4 linked regions of the Sus scrofa genome follow. The protein of the gene in region 1 interacts with the protein of each later gene in a pairwise test. Links are inferred from orthologs where the notes say so. Each region holds a gene or a part of one and is shown on either strand. Other genes may lie near its edges.

Evidence for each region.
Region 2: the proteins of FATE1 (region 1) and TMEM11 interact in binary tests that used the Homo sapiens proteins (3 or more experiments, as listed by UniProt). The two-hybrid records come from large-scale screens. The link is inferred for Sus scrofa from reciprocal best matches to the Homo sapiens genes FATE1 and TMEM11.
Region 3: the proteins of FATE1 (region 1) and TIMMDC1 interact in binary tests that used the Homo sapiens proteins (3 or more experiments, as listed by UniProt). The two-hybrid records come from large-scale screens. The link is inferred for Sus scrofa from reciprocal best matches to the Homo sapiens genes FATE1 and TIMMDC1.
Region 4: the proteins of FATE1 (region 1) and SYNGR1 interact in binary tests that used the Homo sapiens proteins (3 or more experiments, as listed by UniProt). The two-hybrid records come from large-scale screens. The link is inferred for Sus scrofa from reciprocal best matches to the Homo sapiens genes FATE1 and SYNGR1.

What each region holds. Positions count from the first base shown.
Region 1 is NC_010461.5:123,103,964-123,110,164, reverse strand, and holds the start of FATE1 (fetal and adult testis-expressed transcript protein homolog), read right to left. Parts: upstream 4,080-6,201; 5' UTR 4,015-4,079; coding exon 3,912-4,014; intron 2,972-3,911; coding exon 2,853-2,971; intron 1-2,852. UniProt on the Homo sapiens protein: Involved in the regulation of endoplasmic reticulum (ER)-mitochondria coupling. Negatively regulates the ER-mitochondria distance and Ca(2+) transfer from ER to mitochondria possibly implicating it in the regulation of apoptosis.
Region 2 is NC_010454.4:61,358,574-61,364,614, reverse strand, and holds the start of TMEM11 (transmembrane protein 11, mitochondrial), read left to right. Parts: upstream 1-1,753; 5' UTR 1,754-2,024; coding exon 2,025-2,083; intron 2,084-6,041. UniProt on the Homo sapiens protein: Plays a role in mitochondrial morphogenesis.
Region 3 is NC_010455.5:140,754,411-140,760,436, reverse strand, and holds the start of TIMMDC1 (complex I assembly factor TIMMDC1, mitochondrial), read left to right. Parts: upstream 1-1,738; 5' UTR 1,739-1,870; intron 1,871-1,970; 5' UTR 1,971-2,054; coding exon 2,055-2,248; intron 2,249-4,916; coding exon 4,917-5,082; intron 5,083-6,026.
Region 4 is NC_010447.5:8,897,903-8,904,256, reverse strand, and holds the start of SYNGR1 (synaptogyrin-1), read left to right. Parts: upstream 1-2,066; 5' UTR 2,067-2,086; coding exon 2,087-2,185; intron 2,186-6,354. UniProt on the Homo sapiens protein: May play a role in regulated exocytosis. Modulates the localization of synaptophysin/SYP into synaptic-like microvesicles and may therefore play a role in synaptic-like microvesicle formation and/or maturation.

The DNA of each region.
Region 1 (6,201 bases):
TATTGCTCTGGTAACAGCTGTGTGCATACAGATACTAATATGCCTTTTAGGGTGTGTGTGTGAACAGTTGCACTTCGCGGCTGTACTATTTTATTTTCTTCTTTCCCCTCCTCTTCTTAGTTTACCTCTTATCTTTCTTCCTCTTCTTAAGATATCTCAAAAATGGAATTCAAAGGTCAGTAGATATCAAGAAGACACCAAGATTATAAAGGGAAATTCGATGGCCAGTCTGTAGTGGGTTAAAGGATCTGGTGTTGCCACAGCTGCGGCGTAGGTTACAACTCTGGCTGGGATCTGATCCCTGACCCTTTCCTGCCCTGAGAATTCCATATCCGGTGGGGCAGCAAAAAAAAAAAAAAAAAAAAAAAAAAAAAAAAAGCAACTACAACTATTTCCACTGTATCCTCTCGATTTTCCTATAGATTGAGATCAGAAGGAGAAAAAGCTTTTTCAGAGACTTGAAGGTAACATAAGGATGAGTGATTGTTCTTAGTTGGAGTTCGTTTGTTTGAGATAACATTTTTTGCTTTTAACATTTCAATATAAGAGCTAATTTAACGGGAGTTCCCCTTGTGGCACAGTGGTTAACGAATCCGACTAGGAACCATGAGGTTGCAGGTTCGATCCCTGGCCTCGCTCAGTGGGTGAAGGATGCGGTGTTGCCGTGAGCTGTGGTGTAGGTTGCAAACACGGCTCGGATGCTGCGTGGTTGTGCCTCTGGCGTAGGCCGGTGGCTATGGCTCCAATTTGACCCCTAGTCTGGGAACCTCCATATGTTGTGCGAGTGACTCAAGAAAGGGCCAAAAAAAAAAAAAAGAGTTAATTTAACAACATTTGCAAATTCATGATAACTTATGATCACCCATCATTTGACAGGTCTAAGTGTCCAAAAGACGGTTGTCTTTCTGTCCTTTTGCTTTGAATTTTAAAAATAATCTACTGAGAATTATATACATTGTAAACCATCAGATTTTTATTAACATTTGATGGAGATTAGGGAATGCTATGAACCATGGCAAATACCAGCTTTCCTCTGTTAATTATTTCAAAATGTTATTTTAATTTTCATGTACTTTTTAAGGCCTGGTACATTTTCCCAAAAAATGGGAAGAACAGTATGTGATTTTTTTTTCAGTTCATGTTGTGATTCTGTCAGAGGCAATAACAGCTCCATTATACCTTTTTTTCTGAACAATAAATAATGAAAGAATAGAATTGGTAAATTGCATTTCTTAATTCTAAATGTTGAATTTAATTTTAAATTCAGTAGAACAACTAAATTTGTTAAAAGTGTACTCCTTTGGTTTGAAGAGGTAATATTAATTCATCAGAGATGAACTAATTCCCTCAACCGCCCCTCCCCAATCCCATCCCACCTCAGTTTCAGGGCATGCGTAGCTTACTGAAGCCTGAGCTAGTGGAGCCACTTGATGTGGCTTCAGCCTTTGAACACCTGAAGCCAATTCAACGTTTATGGCTTCTTTTCATTCCCAAAGGTCTGTGACCTGGGACTTCTTTTTATCTTTATTCATTTGTGGCTGGAATCAGTTCCGTATTTATTATACCCCATTCCCTAGAAGACTCAGATCTCCTTCCTCCCCAATGGGGCCGCCTTTGCCGGATAGCATTTGCAACAGTTTAACAGTCGTGTTTCTAAAAATTGCCCTCATCCAAGGTGAATGCAGCTGGCAGAATCAGCCAAACAACAAGGACTCCAGTGATTTTTCTAGAGGAGTCACGCGTCCCCCTCCCTAAAATGGCCACCATTTTTCCTAGAACGTTTCCTCAGAAGGTGAACGAGGCTTAAGATGCACTGCAGAACAATGGGACTCAGGTGATTTTCTAGAACATCAAGCCTCCCTCCCTCTCCAACCAGGTTGCCTTCCCTCAGTAACCATTTCCAGAGTCTAAAAATCAGGTTTCTAAAACTTTCACTCAACTACAGTGAAAGTAGCTTAAAGGATTGGCTACAGAGCATGAGACTCACATGATCCCCATCAACAGGCCGGTTGTCCTCTTCTGCAACCTGGTTGCCTTTTCCAAGTAACTTTTGCAACAATATAGCCACCATATTTCTAAAGCTTTCCCCCACCGGAGGTGAATGTAGCTGAAAGGACTGGCTACAAAATGATGGCACTCAAGGACTCACTTCATTCCCTAGAGCTGCTCCAAAATGGCTGCCTTTTCCCAGTATCCTTTGCAACAGTAGAAGCACCATTTTTTCGAGAACATTCCCTCACTCATATGGAGTGTAGCTTAAAGAATTGGCTACAAACTGCTCAGATGCAAATGACTGGATTTCCTAATGGCCATGGAGCATAGCAATCTCACTTGCCTGAGTCTTGTCCCATCCCTAAGATATACAGATGTACATATGTTTATTTGTACGTATATCTCATTTGTATATGCTTATATATTTTTATATTTTATATACTTCTACATAGAAATGCATTTATATACAGGAATAAAAACAAAATATAAGATATATTGGGAAAATACAGATATATAGATATACATATGTGGTGATAAATACAGATGTATTTATTTATTAATAAAAGAAAGTGTTATTTCACACACTTTAGAGTTGCACAGAATACGGTATATGTGTACTCCCCAAGCAATGTGTAATTCAGCATTCTGTACTTTCAATACTGAATTCCTAGCCTAACAATAAATAGTCCTGACCTCTTGTTGGACCATGTGGCCCTCATTTCCCTGCCTACTGCACAGGAGCTTCCTCTCTCACCCCTAATTCAACATCTGGCCTTGCTTGACCTCACCATCTTCAGACTTAGATCCCCTATAGCTGCTACTCTCAAACCCAACCATGTACCAAGGTCCCCATATAGTACCGTTTTCTTGGACTTGTTGGCAGCCAAATTCCAAGCTGCAGCAGAATCGGAAATCTTTGAATCCAACTTCTGACGGCTCTGAGAAGCACCCAGGGACCGGATTCCATGCTCCAACATTTCTAGGGAGAAAAATGGAGGTCCCAGGAACACACATACAGCTATACCAAAGCTTCATGGGCACAGGACACACCGGAAAAGGGACAAGAACTTCTCAGGAATCACCAAACACCCATTCACTGATATCCACTGGCCAAACCCATGTCTCAGTTTCTTCATCCATTCAAGATGTAGCAGGTATTTACCGAGCATAAAGCTCTGGGCTACATGACTAAAGAGAGGACAACGGCCAGGAGATAAGATGACAGCAATCAGGAGACTGACCGTGTATTTCTAGGGAGAATGAGGGTGGCAGAAAATACTCTGTCCATGTAGATTCAGATCAATAAAAACAAGACAGAAAGAAGGGGCTACGTCTAGAAAAGTCAGGAACAACACTACGACACAGACCTGAAAGAGTCCATCCCTGAAAAATCTAGAGAAGCCTGCAAGGTATATGGAACAGCTATAGCACAAGGGCTGTGAGGCAGAAACAATCTTGGGATGTACAGTAGGCCAGCAGGCCACATAGGCAGGAAACAGCAGGAAATACATGGAGGAGGTGACCTTGATCAGATCTTGTAGATCATGGTAAAGACTTTGGATTTTACTCTAAAAGGCAGGAGAAGGTATTGGAGAGTTAGGAGAGAGAAATCATTTGATTGATCTTGTAAACTGAGCCTTGGGAATGTTTTGCAATAGACACCTCCCTCATATCATCAATCCCTTTCTCTCCAACTCCCCTGTCACTCAAGCCAGAAATATATGTGTACGTGAACCAAGGCCACCCACACACGTACCCCCAATCCATGCATCAACATACATGCAGATATGAGTATCTGCCAAGCCACTCATGCACAGTTTCCCACACACACACTCACACACACACACATACACACACACACACACACACACACACAGGTGCAGGCACTCAAGGGAAGGTCCATTTCAGGGGCTCCTCACCTGCTATCAGCACTTGCTCGCGGCTAGGCTCCTGGCTTTTAGGAACCAGCTCTTCAGCCAAGGACATTTCTATCTTCTTGGTGTTAGTGGAGCCTCCTGCCATCACAGCCAGCTCTTCACTTGTAAGCGGTGGCCAAGGATGCACAGAGAGCAGAGCACGGAGGACGCTCTGGGAAAATCAGCTCTTTGACGGGTGGGAGCTCAAGGATATATCTGGACATGGGGGTGGAGCCAGACTCCCCCTCTGCACTCAGGCCTTGGACCCAGCACCTCCTGTTCCTGCTGTATCTTGCTGGCTGGGTTCGAGGCTTTGTTCCCTGCTACTCTGTAAGTAACTTAGGGGAAGAGATAAGGCTTGGAACATTTGTCTGTGAGAACCTCCCTGGTTCTTGGGCCACCCAATTTGGTCCCACAGGGGCACGGGCAGGCTCCACGCTGCATCAATTCTAGAAAGAGGTGGGGGGGGGGTCAGTACCCCAGAGCCAGTTTTTGGCCAAAGCAAAGTTACATCCCGGGTCTGTCATGGCTCCTGCAAGGCCGTCTCTGGCCAGTAATCCACCCCCCTCAGAAGGCATCTTCTGTAGAGCATGCCCTGCCTCCCCTCCAGTCCAGAGTTCCCAGGCAGGGCAGATGGCCTTTTGAGGCCCTGGGTCAGACTGCACAGGAACCCTTAGGGCCAAAGGAGGGAAGGCAAGAGAGTAGGGACCTGCCTACAGCCCCTAGAGCCCAGTTATTCCATCAAGCACTAGTCTATGTGTTGCTATCAAAGTCTTTTGTAGCTGTTGTCCATACCTACAATCAGCGGGCTTGAAGTAAAAGATGGGCCTAATCCTCGATGGTGTGGGTAGGCCTCGTCCAATCAGTTGAAGACCTTAAGAGAAAAGAGGTCTCCCAGAGAATTAATTCTGCTCAAGACTGCAGCATCCACCCTGAAGATTCCAATGCGCTGAACTGCCCTGCATATTTTGGCCTTGCTAGCCTCACAATGGCATGAGCAAATTTCTTAAGATAAAATTTTCCAGACACTCACACCCACATGCATATGTACACACACATACACATATATGTATCCTATTGCCTCCATTTCTCTGGAGACCCCTGCCTGACGCAACCACCAACGATGAGCCCCCAAGCCCCTGGGGGAAGAGGAGGCTATCTTGTTAAAGAAACCCAGCGAGCTCCAAGGAGGAAGAGGGGAGGGGGAGAGGAAGGGAGGAAGGAAAGGGCAGGGAGAGGAAAGGGAGGGGCCAGACTCGTTTAGAGAGGGTGGCAAGACCTGGGCTGCCTGACCCCCTCCCCAGCCCCATCTGTCCAGCGTGGGGAGCAAGCTCTCTGGATCAGATAGGATCAGGTCGGAGCGGACAAAGGCCCTGCCTGCATTCCTGAGGGCCCTGGAGAAGTGCCTCCCGGCTCCAACAGAGCAGCTACGATGAAATCCAAGCCTCCTGGAGGCCACCTTACGAACAGAGAAGTGCACTCTGCAGGACCTAGGAGCCTGGGATGCAGGAGCTGTGGGTTTCTGGCAGGCTGGGGATGCCAATTGATTTGGAATCTCAAATAAACCACAATTTTTTTTTTTTTTTTTTTTTTGCAGCATATGGTCTGGGCAATGTTTGGGATGTGGATAACTGAAAAATGATTCAGGGCTTATCTGACATGCATGTTTAACTGGGTATCCTGTATTTTATCTGGCAACCCTAGGCCCTGCCCCTCCTCCCCATGAGCTGAAGAGTTGACCTTGAGCAAGTCTTTCCTTTGGGCTCCGTCTCCCCATTGGATGATGACGCTAATAATCCCTTCCCTACAGGGTGCTTGATTTTGAGAGCAGTCACGTCAGCAGAGTGGGACACGTGAGGTTCTCAAGCACGACTGTGCACTGTTGACCTCAGATCAGAATCCCCTCTGACTGCCAACTGGCCCTGACCGGTTGGGGCTTCCTGGCCCTGGGGCAATGGGTCCAGGCGCATGCAGAAGCACTGCCCCCTGGTGGCAAAGGACCCGATCACTCAAAGCCACGCAAAGAGGATGGGGAGCCTTCTTTCCCAGTCTCCAGGCCCCGAGTGCCACCCAGAAACCCTGGCATCTCATGACCCTAGCATGTCTGCTTCTCTTGGATTGGGGACCAGGGAGGGCTGGGCTGTGAGAGATGAAATTTGCTGTGTAACTTTGAGCTTGTCCCTTAGCATGTTTTTCTAGCATCTAAACCTTTCCCTCCAATACCACAATTTCCTTCTGAAATTGTCCCAAACTCTTACTCCAAACACTCCCAAAGTCCTCTCTTGTCTGGCGT
Region 2 (6,041 bases), on another chromosome or scaffold:
GCATTTCCCTCATCTTAAGCAGCACCAAGTCTGGAGGACGAAGGTCTAGGTCTCATGCTGTGGTGCCGTGATGTCCCGAGAGGCCCGGGCTCTTTGCATCTTTCCTCGTATCATCCTTCATGTGGTGGCTTTTGCCCTCATGCTTGTTGCCTCGTGGTCACAGAATGGCTGCTGCCCTCCAGATATCACATGCAAATTCTAGGCAGGAGGAAAGGCTGATGCCGCCTCCCTGGGCACTCTCATCCTGTCCCTCCCTCTCGTTCTGACCCTCTATCACTTCTTGGACTGTTCTTGTTTCCTGGCTGGCTGACCATTTCCTGCCACTGCAGTGAAAGCTCCACTACAGCACAACACACCCATCGAGCTCACTGCCAAACCCAGCTCCCAGCTCCTGCTCTGGCAGCAAGAATCAGGACAACAGTTTTGCTCCTTCAGCTTTAGGGGCCACAGCTGCTCCCTTCAGTCACCAGCCTGTGGGGGTCCTTACTGCCCCCCAGCTGCTCTGGCCCTCCGAACACATCCATAAACAACGCCTTGTATTAAATTCCTTTTGCTTGAAATATCTAGGATGGATTTTTCTTTTCCTAATTAGACAATGACCAAGAGAGGTAAAATCACCCCCATTTTATTAATGTACTTACTTTTCTTAGGGCTGCGCCCAGGGCTGCATATGCAAGTTCCCAGGCCAGGGGTCGAATCAGAACTGCAGCTGCCAGCCTACACCACAGCCAGGGCGACACCGGACCCCCCACCCACTGAGCGAGGCCGGGGATCAAACCCGCATCCTCATGGATACTAGTCGGATTTATTTCCATTGCGCCACAGCGGGAACTGGCTCACCCCCATTTTTCACAGTTCCTGTTCTAGAATCCCTGGAAACCCTCGGCATCAGCACACTGGTCCAGAGGAAACAGACGACTCACAAGGGTCCAGAGCCAGCACCTGGAGGTGGGCTGTGACCCAACAGGAAGAGCAGGTACTTCTCAGGGACCGAAAAGCATTTTAGCCACAGCAAGGAAGCTCTGAATTTGCGACGGAAGCTGGAGGGGAGAGCAGCCTCCAAAGAACGGAGGGGCTCCAAGGCTGCCCTGACGGGCTTGAGCGGCGTCTGGTAGGTAATGAGGGTCTGTGGAACGGCCTCAAACGTTCCGTTCTGCTGGCGAATGCGAACTGCAAGGAAATCCTGGGGACCCTTCGGTGGGGGAGCCGCATCGGGGCGCCGGCTCGCCCGGTGCGTCCAGACCTGAGGGCTGAGAGCAGGGGCCGCGCTTCTCCGTTTCTGACCCCGGAGCGGATTTCCGCACGACAGTGGCTCAAACAGTTATGGGGCCAACTAATACGTCCAGCCACGTTGTGTGGAGAGCAGTTGAGGGACTGCGACTTCAAAGGCTGCAGGGACCCCCGGACTGGCCCCGGCTCCGCGGGAACAGCGCTTAGGAGTCACCGGGCTGCGCCGCCTGCCCGTCGCGGCTGCGTCCAGGCAGGGCCCCGTCGGCGGGGTGATGGGCCAGCACTGCCTTCTCAGGGGCCGAGGGCTGGACTGCGTTTTCGTCACCGCGGCCGGACAGGAGCGGGATATGCGCGCGGAGCCCGGTCTCTCCCAGCCGCCGCCACACGTTAAGTTCGGCCCCTTCTCCTCTTCCAGACCCTCCCCGCCGACGGCTTGCCAGCAAGGACTCGGTGGCGGCGGGAGCCGCTTGTGCCTAGCCTCCCGAGGATGTGGGGGACGAGCGGGAGCGGCCCCTCGGTGACCTCGAGCGGCAGGCCCTCCGGAAGGGCCCGGGGCGCCGAGGAGTCGAGCCCGGAAGTGGGCTTTCCGCGCCGCTGGGCTGGCCTGCGTTTCCCGGGCGGCTTCGGGGCAGGCCTTGCCTGCGCGCGGTGCATTGTGGACCTTGTGGTCCCGCGGGGCCCGGCCCCAGCCGGGGGCTCTGTCTGGGGCGGCGGCCGGACTACATCTCCCTCCCGCCCGTGCGCTGTCGCGAGGCCGCCCGGCGCGAGGCTTTCGCGAGCGGAGAGTCTCCAAGATGGCCGCGTGGGGAAGGAGGCGTCTCGGCCCGGGCGGCGGCGGCCCCGCGCGAGAGAGGTGAGACGGGCGCTGTTCCCTTCCCTGCGGGCGGCGCGGGGCGGGAAGCCGGCGACGCCCTTGGGGTTGCAGCACTGCCCCTGCCTCCGACGCGCGGCTCTCCCCGGTGCATCCGCCGGCCGCGCGGGGTCCCGGTTCCGGCCTCCGCGGCCTCCGCGGCGGGCCCGGGGAGGGGCGACGGCAGCCCGGGCACCGTCGGGCCGCCGCGGGGCCCGCCTGAATGCCGCGGGCCGAGCGGCACCAGAGCCCGCCCGCCTGGTCGCGCGGGGAGTTCTTTCGGCCGCGGCGAGGGGTGGCTCCCGGGACGGAGCGGGAAGGGGAAGCCTTCCCATCGCGGGTCGGTGCGGGAAGCGCGGTGCGGTCCGCACGTTTACCGGGGCCTCCGCCTTCCGCTCTGTGGCCTCCGGGCTCCAAGCCGGCCGCTTTTCTCCGGGGGTGATTCCTGGGACTTTGGAGGCTTCTCTGCGAGCGCCCCTGCCGTGGAAGTCCTTTGCAGTGACCTTTCCTAACGAAGGGTGTGTTACGAGTAGGGAGCTAGGGGCTTGTTTCTTTCAAGGTGGATTTTGATTTAGAGGACTCATTTCTAGAAGACGAGGTGGGAGTAGTTGTCGTGTTTCGTGTCGAGTTCACAGTTTTTGCTCCTAGAAAACAGTTTAGCTAGTGGAAGCCACTAGAAGCTGTTCACCCACCAGAAATTTGGGAAAGAGTGCTTGTTGGGGGAGTCACCTGGTGTGAATTGCCCTGACCATTCGCTTAGGACCGGAGTGGCCTAGTAGAGGTCAGCAAGACCTTCGCTTTTCTTTTTCGTTTCTTTTCTGTGAAGATTGGAATACAGCGAAGTTCTTTCTTTTTCTCCCTTTCCTTCTCTGTTCTGACGCTTAACTATTCTGCGTTGTTCCTTTTCTTTGACTGATTCCGTCACATGTTTGTTGCTCTTGCCTTGTTTTGTTAGTTGTGTTCACTTGCATTTTATGCTTGAGCTCAGCGTCACCCAACGTTGTCCATTCTTCAGCTCCTCTGCCTTGGAAAAGAAGCAGTGAATGAATGGCAAGCACGTAGGTATCTTTGTTTTCCCAGCGTCCACCTGGTATGTTTCTTAGACCCAGCTCTAAAAAGTTAAGAGGTGGAGTTCCCGTCGTGGCGCAGTGGTTGACGAATCCTACTAGGAACCGTGAGGTTGCGGGTTCTGTCCCTGCCCTTGCTCAGTGGGTAAACGATCCAGCGTTGCCATGAGCTGTGGTGTAGGTTGCAGACTCAGCTCGGATCCCGCGTTGCTGTGGCTCTGGCGTAGGCCGGTGGCTACAGCTCCGATTCGACCCCTCGCCTGGGAACCTCCATATGCCTCGGGAGCGGCCCAAAGAAATGGCAAAAAGACAGAATAAATAAATAAATAAATAAATAAAAATAAAAAGTTAAGAGGTGAGCTCAGTGGTTTCCACATGGCCTTAAAATCTTGCCAACGTGTTCAAGATCGGTGTTGCAGACATTCGTCCTTTAGGAATAAGAAATAACCCGTTTAGAAAACTCGGTGTCACAGAGCGAGAGAGCGCGCCTCCTTCCTGGAGGCAGACGGAAGGGGCCGGCTGGGCCTGCCCCGGACGTCACCCAGGGCTGTGCTAGCAGCAGTTAGGCTTCTACTCATCCAATAGATTTGATGTTGGGTTTTTTTTTTTTCTCTTTGGTTTGAGACAGGAGTTAATTCAAAACGAAGTTTGCAAACCAGGATTCCCACCGGGCTGAATCCAGTCCTCCCTCGACTGTGACTCTCGGTTTCTAAGAGGATTGAAATGAGTTGCCAAAGCCTGGCGATGGAAAGATTTCACGAGAAACTCCTTGGAAAGCTGCATGGTGGCTCTTTTTGGTCAGGCCAGGTGCTCATCACTCCTCACCTGACAGCCGACTCAGTGCCCTTACCTGCCTGGTCGTGCTGGGTGTTCAGGTTGCAACCTTTGGCCTGGAACAGAAGGCCCTGCTTACACGTCCAGACGTCTCTGTCAGCTGGGAATGGCGCATCTGGTTTTGTGGTTTGGGTGGTACCATCTCTTCTCCTTACAGATAAGGAGTGCGGCGGGGAGCCCCTCTCTTGGCCTGTGCCGTGGGGCCTAGCAGGGCTTTGGTGGAGGAGTGTTGGCCTGGTCCTGGTGTCCCTGGGATCCTCCCATGCTGAGCAGGGAATGGAAACCCAACCCGCCAGCCCTCGGTCAGCTCGCTAACTTCTGGGCGCACCTCCACCCATGCCCCGGGGGTGGGGAGACTCTGGGCAGGCTGGTTGGATTAATTGATTGCCCACACCCTAGATGGAAGCTCAAGCATGTTATTGGCTCTTGGGACTGAAGTAGGCTGTTCAGGGCTCTCTTAAATGACTTTGTTCCATGTCACACCTGTGCCGGCTCAGATTACAGCTCACGCTGTGAGACCACTTTCCCGAATTGCTGCACGCACTTGGTTGGAGTCTGCTTTATGATGAAAGCGTGGGAAACACTGCCTGGTTTGGGGCAGGGGCTGGAGCAGAGCAGCGCTTTGGGCAGACTTTGCAGATTTGCCGGTGGCTGCAAACATGGAAGCACGCTTGGATTTAAAGCAGCTCCTGCCAGACTGTCCCCAAGAGTTATGTTGTCAGCTGTGTGTTAGCGATGATCCAGTTTAGAAAGTACACAGTGTGCGGATTCTTCACCTGGTTCTTGAGTTTCGAGCTGTGTTAATTCAGTGGTCGCTAGTCCCTTGTGACAGTTAAATTTTTCTTTTTGCTTTTTAGGGCCGCACCAATGGCATATGGAAGTTCCCAGCCTAGGGGTCGAATTGGAGCTGTAGCTGCTGGCCTGCACCACAGCCTCAGCAATGCAGGGTCTGCGACCTATGCCACAGCTCACTGCTGCGCCAGATCCTTAACTCACCGAGCCGACCAGAGATGGAACCTGTGTCCTTATGGATGCCAGTCAGATTCGTCTCCTCTCAGCCTGGAGGGAACTCCCATAACCTGAATTCTTGTCCACAGTAGGGCACGGACAGTGAGCACGCCAGACAGATGGCCACAGGTCCTGTCAGTGTCTTTAACACACTGGCCCGTCTAGGAGGGCAGGCATCTGAGTGTTGTGCCGCTGGGCGCCTTCCTAGACGGGCCATCTCACAGACCTGCCAGCTGTCCCGCTGTCTGCCTGCCCTCAGGGCCCCGAGGTCCTGTGTTCCCCGCCGTTGTGGGTGTGAGTTCAGCGTGTGGACACACTTGATCTGCGTCTGGTCTCTGTGGGAGGGGCAGCGCGGCTTGGAGGCCTGGTGTGTTCGCAGGGCTGGGCGTGCTGGACTAGAGGCGCGGGTCTTAGGGTCAGACCCCTTCTGTGGCCTCCCCTCCTCTGGCTTCTGCAGGCGTCTGTGCCCGCGTTTTCAGGCAGCCAGCTCTGCCGGGTCACGTCCACATCTCTCTGTCCTGCGCCTTATTCCCTGGGACTTGCCCCTCTTCGACAGCTTTGCTTGCTTTCTTTTCTTTTCTTTTTTCTTTTCTTCTTTTTTTGGCCACCCCGTGGCACGTGGAGTTCCTGGGCCAGGGATCAGATCCAAGTAGCAGACTAGCCCTAAGCCACAGCTGCGGCAATGCCAGATCCTTAACCCACAGTGCCGGGCTGGGAATCGAACCTGTGTCCCAGTGCTCCCAAGGCACCGCTGGTCCCGTTGCACCAGAGCGGGCACTCCGAAAGCTTTACTTTTAATGGGCAACTTGGATGGATGTCCTGGATGCCGGTGGAGGGATCAGTTCCCAGGACAGCTGAACGAGCCAGCCAGAGGCCCCGTGGGCAGGAGGCTCACGTTCCCTCGCTCTGATTGGGTCCTTTCTTTTAGAGCTGAGGCTCTCTGGGGGTGTGGGTCTTCCGTCTCTCTTGACGACTCCTTCTGGCCCTAATGGGTGCGGCACGCGCCTCTCCTCGAGGCCTGGACGCCGTGCCCGTCACCTGGGTCCCGCTCA
Region 3 (6,026 bases), on another chromosome or scaffold:
GCTTTCAGACCTAAAGATTTTAGTCTGGTGCCTACCTCTGCCTATATGGGATAAACGGCAACCTGGAGTCAGAGCCAGGAGTCAGGGGATCTGAATTTTTCATTCGACAACCTATGTGCCAGTCATGGTAGGTACTGGAGACACAGATGAATAAACATAGTCTCTTGACCTCAAAGTTAGTCTATTGAGACACATAGCAAAGAGGAAATCATGATGCAATGTAGTAAGTGCTCTGATGGGAACTGAATCTAATCCTCTCTCCCAGACACTAGAGAGCTCTTCCTGGCACTGTGATTAGACTAACTCAGCTAGTCACTCTATCAGTCACTTCTCTGGACCATATCTAGAGACTTCCAGCTATCAAATTCTGGAATTCTCTTTACTGTATCCTACTAAAGATTGTAATTATTTTGAATTATTCCTAGAAAGGAATAAATGATGGGTAGGAATTGGCGAAGACAATGTGTATGATTCCTAGCAAAGATCAGATGAAATTACACAAATCAGGAGTTCCCTTCATGTCTCAGGGGTTAACGGACCCAATTAGGATCCATGAGGATGTGGTTCTACCCCTGGCCTGGCTCAGTGTTGGTGATCCTGCATTGCCCTGCCTTGTAGTGTAGGTCGAAGACCTGGCTCGGATCCTTCGTTGCAGTGGCTGTGGCTTAAGCCAGCAGCTGTAGCTTGGATTTGACCCCTAGTCTGGGAACTAACATATGCTGCAGATGCAGCCCTAAAAAAAGGCAAAAAAAAAAAAAAAAAAAGAAACACAAATCAGTTTAAAAATACTTAACATGCGAGCTGTCTTGTTTTTGTTGTTGTTTTTGGCCGAGGTGGCATATGGGGTTCCAGGGCTGGGGATCAGATCCGAGTACCTAAACCATAGCTAAGGAACCAGGCAGGGATAGAACCAGGCTCCCAAGTGCTGCCAAGACACCGCGGATCCTGTTGTGCCACAGTGGGAATTCCTTCATAAGCGTGCATTTTAATAAAATTATACTTTGAAGCATATGATAGCAGAGGCTGTAGTGACAGGAAATTATTGCTGGACTACCAAGCAAACATCTGAGAGAAAGTGTCCTGCCTTTTAAGAAAGAGTAGTTATATGAACCAAGGTGAATAAAACCCATCTTGTGAAGCCCTGAACCGATTCTTCTACATAAAAATGTTCTGGAAATCTGGGTGTAACTGGCAACAAGACCCCTCTTAAAAGCCTCCTAACTTTCTGAAATCGAGAATAGACCTCGCCCAACCTCAGAGGTTTCCCGAGCTATGACAGGGTGGGTTGGGCTTGTAGTTCTGCAAACTGCCTTCCCCTTTCTGTACCCCATTTGTGTTGAACACTGCACTTTCTTCATCTACATTCCTGCTTTTTAAAATAAGCTAACTTCAAACTATTGCATTTGGAGTAGATAAGCAATGAGATCCTGCTATATAGCACAGGGAACTGTATCGAGTCACTTGTGATGGAACATCATAGAGGATAATGTGAGAAAAAGCCTATGTATGACTGGGTAATTATGCTTTACACTAGAAATTGTCAGAACACTGTAAATCAACTATAATGGAAAAATAAAAATTACATAAAAAATAAAATACGCTAACCTACTTCAGCTAATGACCCGGTCTGGTTGCCTGGAAACTGCCCCACACAGTTTCACTGGCGCAGGAGGCGGGGGCCAGACGGTGCAGAGAGCTGTTACACGCCGCCAGCTCACTTCCGGCGAGTCAGCTTGCCACCTCTAAGATCCGTCCCACCTCAAACCGGAAGTGCTTCCGGCTCCGGCTCCGCCCTCGCCCAGCCCAGTAGCCTTTGCCCTGGTTGGGGCGGGACTTCCTGTCTCGTGTGTCCAAGGGCTTCCAAAGTGAGGTTAGTCTGGGAGTGCAGGTCTGTCACGGTGTGTGGCTACCGCTACGGCCGCGAATTTGCTAGAGCGTAGTGTACCAGTATTCGTCACTTATTCTTGCAGTTATCTTCGCTCTTCTCCCACGGCGCCTCCCGGAGACCTTGGGGCCCTGAGCGCCCAAGCTGTCCGGCAGGTTCTGAGGAGACCATGGAGGTGCGGCCGCCGGCTCCACGGAGCTTGCTCTGCAGGGCGCTGAATCCTTTCCCTCGGGTCTTTGCTGCTGGAGCTGTGGCCACCGATTCCAAGGGTCTTGCGGAGGACCTTAAGCTGCCTTCCTGCGTCCCGGAAGCCCGATACCCGGAATCCGGATGGGACCGACTCCGGGAGCTGTTTGTCAAAGAGTAAAAGTGCCTACGGTCTGTGGGGAGGGGCTACGAAGGAGGTGACCTGAAACCTGGGTCATCCGGGATGAAGGACCCCAGGGTGGTGTGATTTATTTTTAAACGGAATTTTGGGTTCTAGTGCTTGTACTCCAAGCTTGTATCCTAACATAGCGGCTAGGTGGTTCTTATGATTGACAGGCCGGTTTTCAGGTGGTAAAGGTGAGCCTCATTGAATGTCAGAGCTTTTAGGGATATTTAGGGAGTAGAGTCTTAGTGTAATTACCTCGATTTTACAGATTAGAAGAATTGGGCCAAGGTACTTGGTGACGCGAGAACCCACATCTGCAGGACTGCAATATTCCTTTTCTTATATAACTTGATCCCAAATTTTGATAGTTTATGACCAATAGCCCTCCTCCCCGGCGCAAAAATGGAAGTTCAGAGATAGCAGAAAGAGTTGTAAAATTTTTATTCTGCTAAATAAGGAATATATAAAAAATAGTAGCAACTATTGTCTCATCATTTTATAAAGAAATTAGCTGGATTCACAAATAAGGATGTTTCAGAATAAAAGAAATAACCCTTTAAATTGAATTAACTTTAATGGAAAACTCACGATAATTAATTTCATCATTGTTTCGTTCATCAATTACTGGTAAAAAGTTTGCCCTTTTATGAAGTACTTTACTATATACTATACTGTGTTATCAACATTGGTTAAATTAACGTCGAAGCTTTATTATGTTGCTGAGATAGTTCAGGCAGGGGAGCTGGTGGAATTGTATTAATTACTTTATTTAGGTTTCATCATCTTTGTTTTAAAGATAAGCCGCCCTTCTTATTGGTCCTTCCAAAATTTATTTGAGATATTTGTGAAGGAGCCTATATAGTATATAACAGAAAAGGGTTATTTTGATCAGCTTTATAAAACCACAGAATGTTGGAGCTGAAAGAAATGTGAAAGATAATTTAGTTTAACTTTCATTCTCCCCACTAAGTCATGCATAAGGAAACCAATGTTCAGAGTGATTGTGATCTGGCCACAAGTCTCTTAGCAGTGGATGACACGAACCAGAACCACAATCCCATTGGTCCTTTTCATCACTGTGCCCCGTTTCTTCACCATTCATTTAGCTGTTAGGATTAATCATGTAATTTCTTACAGCCTCAATTGATAAAATGGAAAAAAGTATCACCTATGTCATAGAATTTTTCAAAGGATGGAAAAGAGAAAAGCATATGCATTTCCCAACTTGTTAAATCTAAAGCTCTTTTATATTTTCTCCTTTCTGGGTTCTACCAGTTTTTAATGTAAATGATGTTTTTTATCTTATTCGTTATAAAAGTTAAAATATAAAGTTCAGGAGTTTGTCTTGTGTCTCAGTGGTTAACAAATTTGACTAGCATCCATGAGGACATAGGTTCAATCCCTGACCTTGCTCAGTGGGTTAAGCATCTAGTGTTGCTGTGAGCTGTGGTGTAGGTCACAGACGTGGCTCAGATGTGGCGTGGCTGTGGCTGTGGCTGTGGCTGGCAGCTGTAGCTCTGACTTGACCCCTAGCCCGGGAACCTCCATATGTGGCAGGTGTGGCCCTAAAAAGCAAATAAATAAATAAATATAAAAGTAAAAAAAATATATATATAAAGTTCATATTATAGCAGTTTTTCTTATTGATGTAAGAATTAGTTTCCTAACATTTTATTTAGTGATCCCTTTTATGTATGCAAGAACTATAAAAACTCACTGATTACATGATTTCAGAAATGTTGTTAACTGGCTGTTAGAATTAGATAAACACTTGTACAGCCTCTGAAGAAAGCAAGTTAGTAATGTAAAAAATTACCATTTAGTGGTTTACTTACATGTGAAGGCCATTATTTATAGGAAATTAACACTTAAAAAATTAGCTATTTGTTAGCGCAATTTCCAGAGGGTATAGTGGAAGCTCCAGTATGGGTTCTAGTTCCTTAATGGATTGAATGAAGTGGTAGCTTTTCCATGTTATTTTATGTTGGTTTGCGCTGCCCACTGCATAGTGAGATTTCTCATTCGATGCTTTTTAATAGTACAAGCCCATCTGAGTATTACATAAAAATTATTCAGAAAGATAAAGTTTTGACTCTTTTTTTTTACATCTAGGAATTCATTCTTACATACATTGTCCTAAAACCTCGTTAGTTTGTGTAATTGCCAAAGGTATCTAAAAATTCAAAAAAGGAAATGTGTTTTCCTTCATTCAGTTCACAGATTCTTTCTGTTTCCAGGGATATAGTAGAGTTCTAACAGTCGTCAAAATCACCTTAAAGAAAAAATTGTATTGCAGTATAATGTGAACCTATAAAAATGCACAAGTATATTTACATAAGTATACCCACCTATGACTTTTCACAAACTAAACATAGCTGTGTATCCAGCTGCAAGAGACTTAATTACATCCAGGAGCTCCCCCTTGTGTCCCTTTCTTGTCACTGCCTTCTCAAGAATATCCGCTAACTTAATTTCTAAAAGCATGTATTAGTTTGGATTGAGATTTGAGCCACTGTAATATAATTATTTAATTCATCAAAGGATTTAACTGGTTCTGCCCATCATGAAAAATGTGGTCCTGTTAGCACTTGGGATAATTCTGATCATACTGTTTTTTGGAGAGCAGTATCCATAAACATTATCTTTTTGATGTTTTAGTGAACAGCAGAGAACTTCAAAAGAACTTCAGGATATATACAAGGCAGCAATTTCAGCAGGCATCATTGGCTGGGCATATGGGGGGATACCAGCTTTTATTCATGCTAAACAGCACTACATTGAGCAGAGCCAAGCAGAAGTGTACCATAACCAGTTTGATGCTGTGGTATGTACCAGTGTTCTAATAGTATTTGAGGGCACACCAATTTAGCTTTTCACTTAAACTTAATCATCTAGTGTGGTGGTAAGGTTGGGAGAGTTTAAGAAACAAAGTCCATACTTAACAATGGAAGTACTAATGCTGAAATCTATACACAAACTTTGTCAAACCACCTTTTGTTTGTTTGTTTGTTTTTGTTTTTAAGGCTGCACCTGAGGCATATGGAGTTTCCCAGTCTAGGGGTCCAGTTGGAGCTATAGCTGCTGGCCTGCACCACAGCCACAGCAACATCAGATCCAAGCTGTGTCTGCGACCTACACCACAGCTTACAGCAATGCTGGATCCTTAACCTAATGAGCGAGGCCAGGGACCAAACCTGCAACTTCATGGTTCCTAGTCAGATTCGTTTCCACTGTGCCATGATGGAAACTCCTCAAACCACTTTTTTTACCTTCAGAATGGATAACTACCATATCTCTGCTTTCTGAAATGTATTTCTAATCCCCTGCTAAATCATCAAGGCTTACCTATAGCATATTAATTACCCTATTCACAAAGCTTCCATGCACTATACTGGCTCACACTAAAACAGTAATTAATGTTTAGAGTGTTACAGTTTTTAGAGTACTAACTTATGTGTTATATCCTAGATCTATACATCAGTTCTGTTTTATTAGTGAGGAAGTTACAGCTCAGAATTTTTTTTTTTTTTTTTTTTTTAGGGCCACACCTGTAGCATATGAAGTTCCCAGGCTAGAGGTCAAATCGGAGCTACAGCTATTTCCCTATGCCACAGCTACAGACAGCAATGCAGGATCCGAGCCACATCTGTTACCTATACCACAGCTCATGGCAATGCCGGGTCCTTAACTCACCGAGTGAGGCCAGGGATTGAACCTGCATTCTCATGGACACTAGTTAGATTCGTTTCCACAGAACCACAGTGGGAA
Region 4 (6,354 bases), on another chromosome or scaffold:
CAGCTTCCACATGCTGTGAGTTCGGCCCTAACCCACAAACCACCCACCACCCCCAAAAAATTAGATATAGGCATTCCCCTGTGGCACAGCAGATTAAGGATTGGACATTGTTCCTGCAGCGGGTTGGGTCACTGCTGTAGCTCAGGTTTAGTCCCTGGCCCCGGGAACTTCCACATGTGTGGGTGTACAATCACTAGGAAAATAACTTAGCAAGTTTTCATGGGCCAAAAAAAGTAGATATAACTTCAATACAATGAAAGTCACTCTTTTTCTGGACATTGTTGCAGGTATTAGCAAATCTACATTGTCACTGTGTAACCATCACCACAAACAAGATAAAGAATTATTCCATCATACCCCCCAAATTTTCCCATGCTTCTTTTTTTTTTTTTTTTCTTTGTCTTTTAGGACCACACCTGTGGGTCAAATGGGAGCTGCAGCTGCCAGCCTATGCCACAGCTCCCGGGAACATCGGATGCTTAACCCACTGAGCGATGCCAGGGATCGAACCTGCCACTTCATGGTTCCTAGTCAGGCTCAGGAACCCTGATGTTGCACATCTTTTCATGTACTTAGTTCCCACCTGTATATCTTCTTTGGCGAAGTGTGCTTGTTCAAATCTTTTGCCCATTAAAAAAAAAAAATGTGGGAGTTCCCTTCGTGGCGCAGTTGTTAACGAATCCGACTAGGAATCATGAGGTTGCGGGTTCGATGTCTGGCCTTGCTCAATGGGTTAAGGTTCCATTGTTGCCATGAGCTCTGGTGTAGGTCGCAGACCCAGCTGGGATCCTGCGTTGCTGTGGCTGTGGCGTATGGTAGGTTCCCTATTGGGAACCTCCAATATGCCTCAGGTGCAGCCCTGAAAAAAAAATTTAAAAAAAAAAAGGGGTGTCCTCACACCCACTCATTAAGGACCTGGTGATCTAGTGTCCTGTCATGATGACAGAATGCCGGATGCTCTGTCATCACCAGGGCTGCAAAGGCCTCTAGAGATACCGTTGTTCAACCCTCCTGGAACCAGTGGAGACACAGAGAGAGGCCCCGAGAACTCCAGGTCATCGTAAGAGCCAGACCTGGAAGGTGTTAGTCCCACTGTGGCGAACACTCCTCCAGCCAGCCTCAGTTTCCACAAAACCTGGAGCTCTTAGGCCAAGCTTTGAGGGGGTGATGGGGGTGATGGGGACGAGGATTTGTTATTGAGCACCTGCTGCGTGCCCGGCCCTCGGCTACTGCAGTGAACAAGGTAGATAACATCCAAAGACTAGCAGACAAAGATAATGAACAAATAATGCCATAATTACTGGATTAAGGAAAAGGGTGTTGTGCTGGGGGTTGGGGGAGGGGAGGGGAGGGGAGGGGGAGGGAATGGCGGTGGGAGGGGACGGGGATGGGGGTGGTCTCTTGAAGAATTTATTGCCCTTCCTCGGCCTCAGCCTCTCCCAGGTGTCTCGGGCCCTGCGGGCTGGAGGTGGGGGTGAGCAGATGCGGGGACCACATGACGTCAGTGTGAAAGCCAGGTGGAAAGGTCCTGGGGGCGGGGGGAGCTGCGCTTTAGAAGGCTCTGAGAAGAGGGTTATTCCTTCGTGGTTCATTCATTCCAGAAATCTTCCTGCGGCCTCTGCTGTGTGCCAAGCACCCCGTGAGGAGGATGATAAACTCGCCCCCCCCACCCCGCTCCCTATAATTGGGGACAGACAGAGCAACAGGAAACAAGGCACGGGTAGACTGGCCGCCCCCGGACCGTGGACACGTCCTGCATTGGCTGCACATAGCCCTCTGCACACACCTCGGCCCCCCTCGCCCCCGCCGCCCCCACTTAGCAAAGAGGTCACCGCGCAAGAAACAAGAGCGCCCTGGACCGGGTCCGCAGCAACCGCGCCCCCGCGATCGAGGGCGCGCGCGGCCCCCGCCCCTCCCCCCGTCCGCGCCGCGCCGCGCCGGCCACGCGCCCTCCGCGCACGACGCCCCCTCGTGGAGCCCTCGGCCGCGCCAGTCGCCCAGCAGGGGACGCGGTGGGGGGGGGCCGCGCACGCGCACCGGTCGGCGGCGCGCGCCGAGCGGGGGGCACCGCGCGGGTGCAGCCACGATGGAAGGGGGTGCTTACGGAGCGGGCAAAGCCGGGGGCGCCTTCGACCCCTACACCCTGGTCCGGCAGCCGCACACCATCCTGCGCGTCGTGTCCTGGGTAAGGACGGCTGGGCGGCCCGGCCAGGCCGGGGGTGGGGCGGGGTGCGGGCGCTGGGAAGGGCGGCGCGCCCGGACAGACCCCGACCCCACCGACTGCGGGACAGGGGCGCGGCCGCGGGCAGGGAGCCGTCGCGCCGGGGTACTGGCGCCCACTCCTATCTCCTTTCCGGGCCCGCGCGGGGGTCCAGGCACTCGCCGGGGGTGCCCGCTCCTGCTCCCCGAGCCCTGTCTTCCCTGTGTCCCCCCATCGTGCGCGCCCCCCAGCGCCGTGACCTCCAGGCCGCGACCAGGCACCTCGCGGCTCTGGTTGCTCTGGTAGCGCGCGGCCGCCCGGGCGGACCGGCGACAGTGGGGACGAAACCCTGGTCTCGGGTGGCATTTTTCGGGGGGTGGATCAGGGCGTGATCGTCTCTCGGGGGGTACACGCGTGCTTGCCAGGGGCGTTCAGGGAGGAGAGGGCAGGAAACCGGGTTTTCGTGGCTTAGCCAGGACCGTGTGGGGCGATGCGGCGGCAGCTGGATACCTGGCTTCTGCCCGGGAACTGCCTCTCCGCAGCGTGACCTTGGGCTGGAAACCACCCGAGAAATGTTCACGGGAAACGAGGAGTTAAATTGCGAGGTGGGCAGCGCGTCATCTCCTTTCGCTTGCCTCAGTTTCCCGAGCTGTAGAGCGGTGGGAGGAGCCTCCTTGGGACCTCCTTGGGCTCTGCTATTTTGGGAATCCGTGTCAAAATCTAGATGCCAGAGGAGGGAGGGGCCCAGGAGAAGGGTCCCCTGCCCACAGTGCGGAGCTGAGGGGTCGGTTCAGGCAGAATTGCCCCCAACCCCCCCAGTACTGAGTAGGATCCCTGTTCAAACCTGGGGTTGGGAGAGGAGGCGCGAGCAGTCAGCACAGGGGGTGAGGGGTTTCACAGGGCCTGGGCTGCACCCCAGGGGAAGGAGGCTGGCTGCTGCCTGGGGAGGGGTACCTGGGGCTCCCTAGGCTGGCTGGCCATTGCCCAGACACCCTCAATAGAGGGTCTTGCCCCTACAGGCCTGGGTCCTGGATAAGGGACACTGGGCAGGGGTACCATCGGCCACCCCAGGAGGCTATGCGTGAAGCCAGCTGTGTTTGGTGGGGTGCTGAAGCTCCCTCACTTCCTGGGTTTCCAGGCCCGTATTAGGGTGTGATGGGTGGGACAGCTTGGATGTTTATCTCCCACCTCCCCGAGGAAGAGGGGAGCTACCTTCCCTTTATGTGCCACAGGGAGTGTGGCCCCATTGAAATCCTTTCCTCCAAGTGCCCACCAGGTAGGGAGCCCTTCGAGGGCTTCAGGGAAGCCCTGTTCTTTAGTCTTTGGGTCCCCAGGGCTGGCACAGGGCCTGGCACCTTGGGTACATCCGGGAGGGTTTGTAGCGCTCAATTCATTCATCTTTGGTGTCTCTAGCTCCCCAGAGACCCTGGCAGGTTCTTGGCAAAGGTAGAGCTACCTGCCTGGTCAGGTGGGCTGGCTCTGTGCTCTGCTCCCCTTTGCCGGCCCCTGGGCCACTGGCCCCGGAGGGTGAAGTCACTGGCTTTGCGAGGAGGTGTGGGCGTTCCGTCTGCCCGGGTCACTTCTTCCTCTGATGGCTTCATTTAGCAAAGCTTTATTGAGTTGGCTAGGCCTGCAGGGAAGGCAGTATGACTCAGACGCAGCCCAGCCCTCGGAGCTCAGGGAGCCTATGGTCCCGCTGGGAAGGGAGCCAGGTACCCCCAGGCAGAGGCCGCAAGAGCCAGGAGAGGAATCAGAAGCTTCCTGGAGAAGGTGATGTCACATTGGGCCTGGAAGGACAGGGACATATACACACATCAAGGTGCGGGAGGACGTTCCAGGCGGCAAAGTAACTGAGCCCTGCTGTCACCATTACTCAGCTGGTTCCCCCAGCAGCTTGTGTCACCCTCGAGGAACCTGAGGCTAAGAGGTGCCCAAGGTGACGGAGCGTGGAAGGGGCCAATGGAGGGTTTGAGCCCACATCCCTCTCTCCGAAGCACAGCGCTTTCCCCGGGTCAGAAGGAGTGTGGCATCCTGGGATTTCAGGATTGGAAAGGATAAGGGTTTTTGGGGTCCACCCCCATCCAATGCCCAAGTCCCCCCCACAGCCCCCCAACAGTCTCCCAGTCCTGCTCGTTACCTTTGGGTGAGCAGAGGCACCCGATACAGGCTGATGGGCGCTCTAAAAAAAAGGTAGGTTTTCTTCTGATCGTAGAAGTAATATCTGCTGATGACTGGAAAAACCTAAATCACCTGTGATGGTTGTACACCAATACGTTTGTCCTTAACGCCCCTGAACCGCACTTAAAAATGGTGAAGATGGTAAATTTTATGTTGTGTGTCTTACCGCAAAAAAAAAAAAAAAAAAAAAAAAAAAAGCACATGTGATCCCACCACTTAGGGAGGGGCTACTCCCTCCTTCCAGTGTTTTTCAAAAACAAGTGGCGCTGAGACCTTTTAAGACGTTGGGGACACACAGCAGAGGCACGTAAAGACCTGCGGTTCGCCCTCCTGCTCCCTGCACCCACCGCGGGGTCTGGCAGGCCTTAAGCTTCACCTTCCAGCTAATAGAGCCTGCGCATCATCGAGTCCCAGTTCACCCTGGTTTGCCAGAACTTTCCCAGCTTCAGCACTGAAAGTCCCATGTCCTGGAAGTCGTCCCCCTGTCCCGGACAGACAGGCTGCTGCTTCCTCTCCAGGACGCCTCCTGTGCTACCCAGACCCCTTCCGAAGCGCTGGAGGGGCCCTAGCAATGTGTGCACATGGGCTCGTGGTCTTGTACCATTTGCAGAAGAAAGAGCTTTTTCTGTTATGTCTGTTATTTTTTTGGGAATTGGCCCCCCAGACCACGTTAGCTTCAAGGACTCACCAAGCCTGGACCCACCCTGGAACCTGAGCCCCCCCCGAACCACCAGACCTGGCAGGACCCCCTTGTTTCTTGCCTGAGGCTTTCTTAGCTCCTCTCTGCCCCAGTGCATCCAGTGCACACTGTGTGCCCCCCCTTCCCCCCAGTTCACCTGGGAGGGTGAAGAAGTGAGGAAGGAGGAATTAGCCCCTGGGTTAAGGTGGGGAGGGAGCTGGCGAGCCCTCTGGCAGATTCCAGCTTGGACCCTTCCTGCCCTGGGCGAGGAGATGGCTGAGTTGGGTCAGTGTCCAGGGCAAGCTCAGAGCTGCTTCCTCTGACCGGGGCTTGGCGGGCAGGTGGGCTCTGCTGGCTGGGCACCAGGAGATCTGCCGCAGCTCCCAGCTTCCCCAGGCACCAGCCGTGGCTACCCCCCCGCCCCCGTGCCTCTCCATGGAATGGAAAAGCTGGGCGGGGTCAAAAGGGCCCAATCCTGCCACCTGTCAGTGACCCCTTTCTCTGGAGCCAGGGGGGAAATGGAGTTTCAGCAGGGAGCTCACTGATTTCATCCAAAGGACCACCTGCTATGTGGAATTTATATCCTTGCTTTGGAATGTTGAAATCACCTATGGGAAAAGAATATTGGGGCTGGTAGATGAGGTGATTTTTTAAAAAAATTAATTCTCTGTGGAGTTCCCATTGTGGCTCAGCAGGTTAAGGACCAAACATTGTCTTTGTTTGGATGTGGGTTCAATCCTTGGCCTCAGACAGTGGGTTAAGGGACCAGTGTTGCCACAAGCTGCGGCATAGGTTGCAGATGCAGCTCGGATCTGGTGTTGCCATGACTGTGGTATAGGTCGCAGATGCGGCTGGGATCTGGTGTTGCTGTGGCTATGGTGTGGGCCACATCCGCAGCTCCGATTTGACCCCTAGCCTGGGAACTTCCATATGGGATTGAGCTCTTAAGGGCTTTGGCTATAACACTTAGGGTGCTGTAAGTAGGGTGGGTGTCATTCCCCTGATGACAGAAACAAGGGGCAGGCTGGAGATGACTTGTCTGCTGGGCTCTGCACTGCCAGAGCCACTGTTTCAACTCGGTCCGCTGGGCCCACATTCAGTGTACTCCCTAGGGCTTGCCTGTCTGAGTCACAATGGCGCCAAGGGGTGGCTTGAGGAAACAGTTTTACACCTTTTTTTTTTTTTTTTTTTTTTTTTTTGGTTTTCAGGGCCGCACCTGCAGCGTATGGAAGTTCCCAGGCCAGGAGTGGAAATGGAGCTGCAGCTGCTGGCCTACACCACAGCCACAGCAACGCGG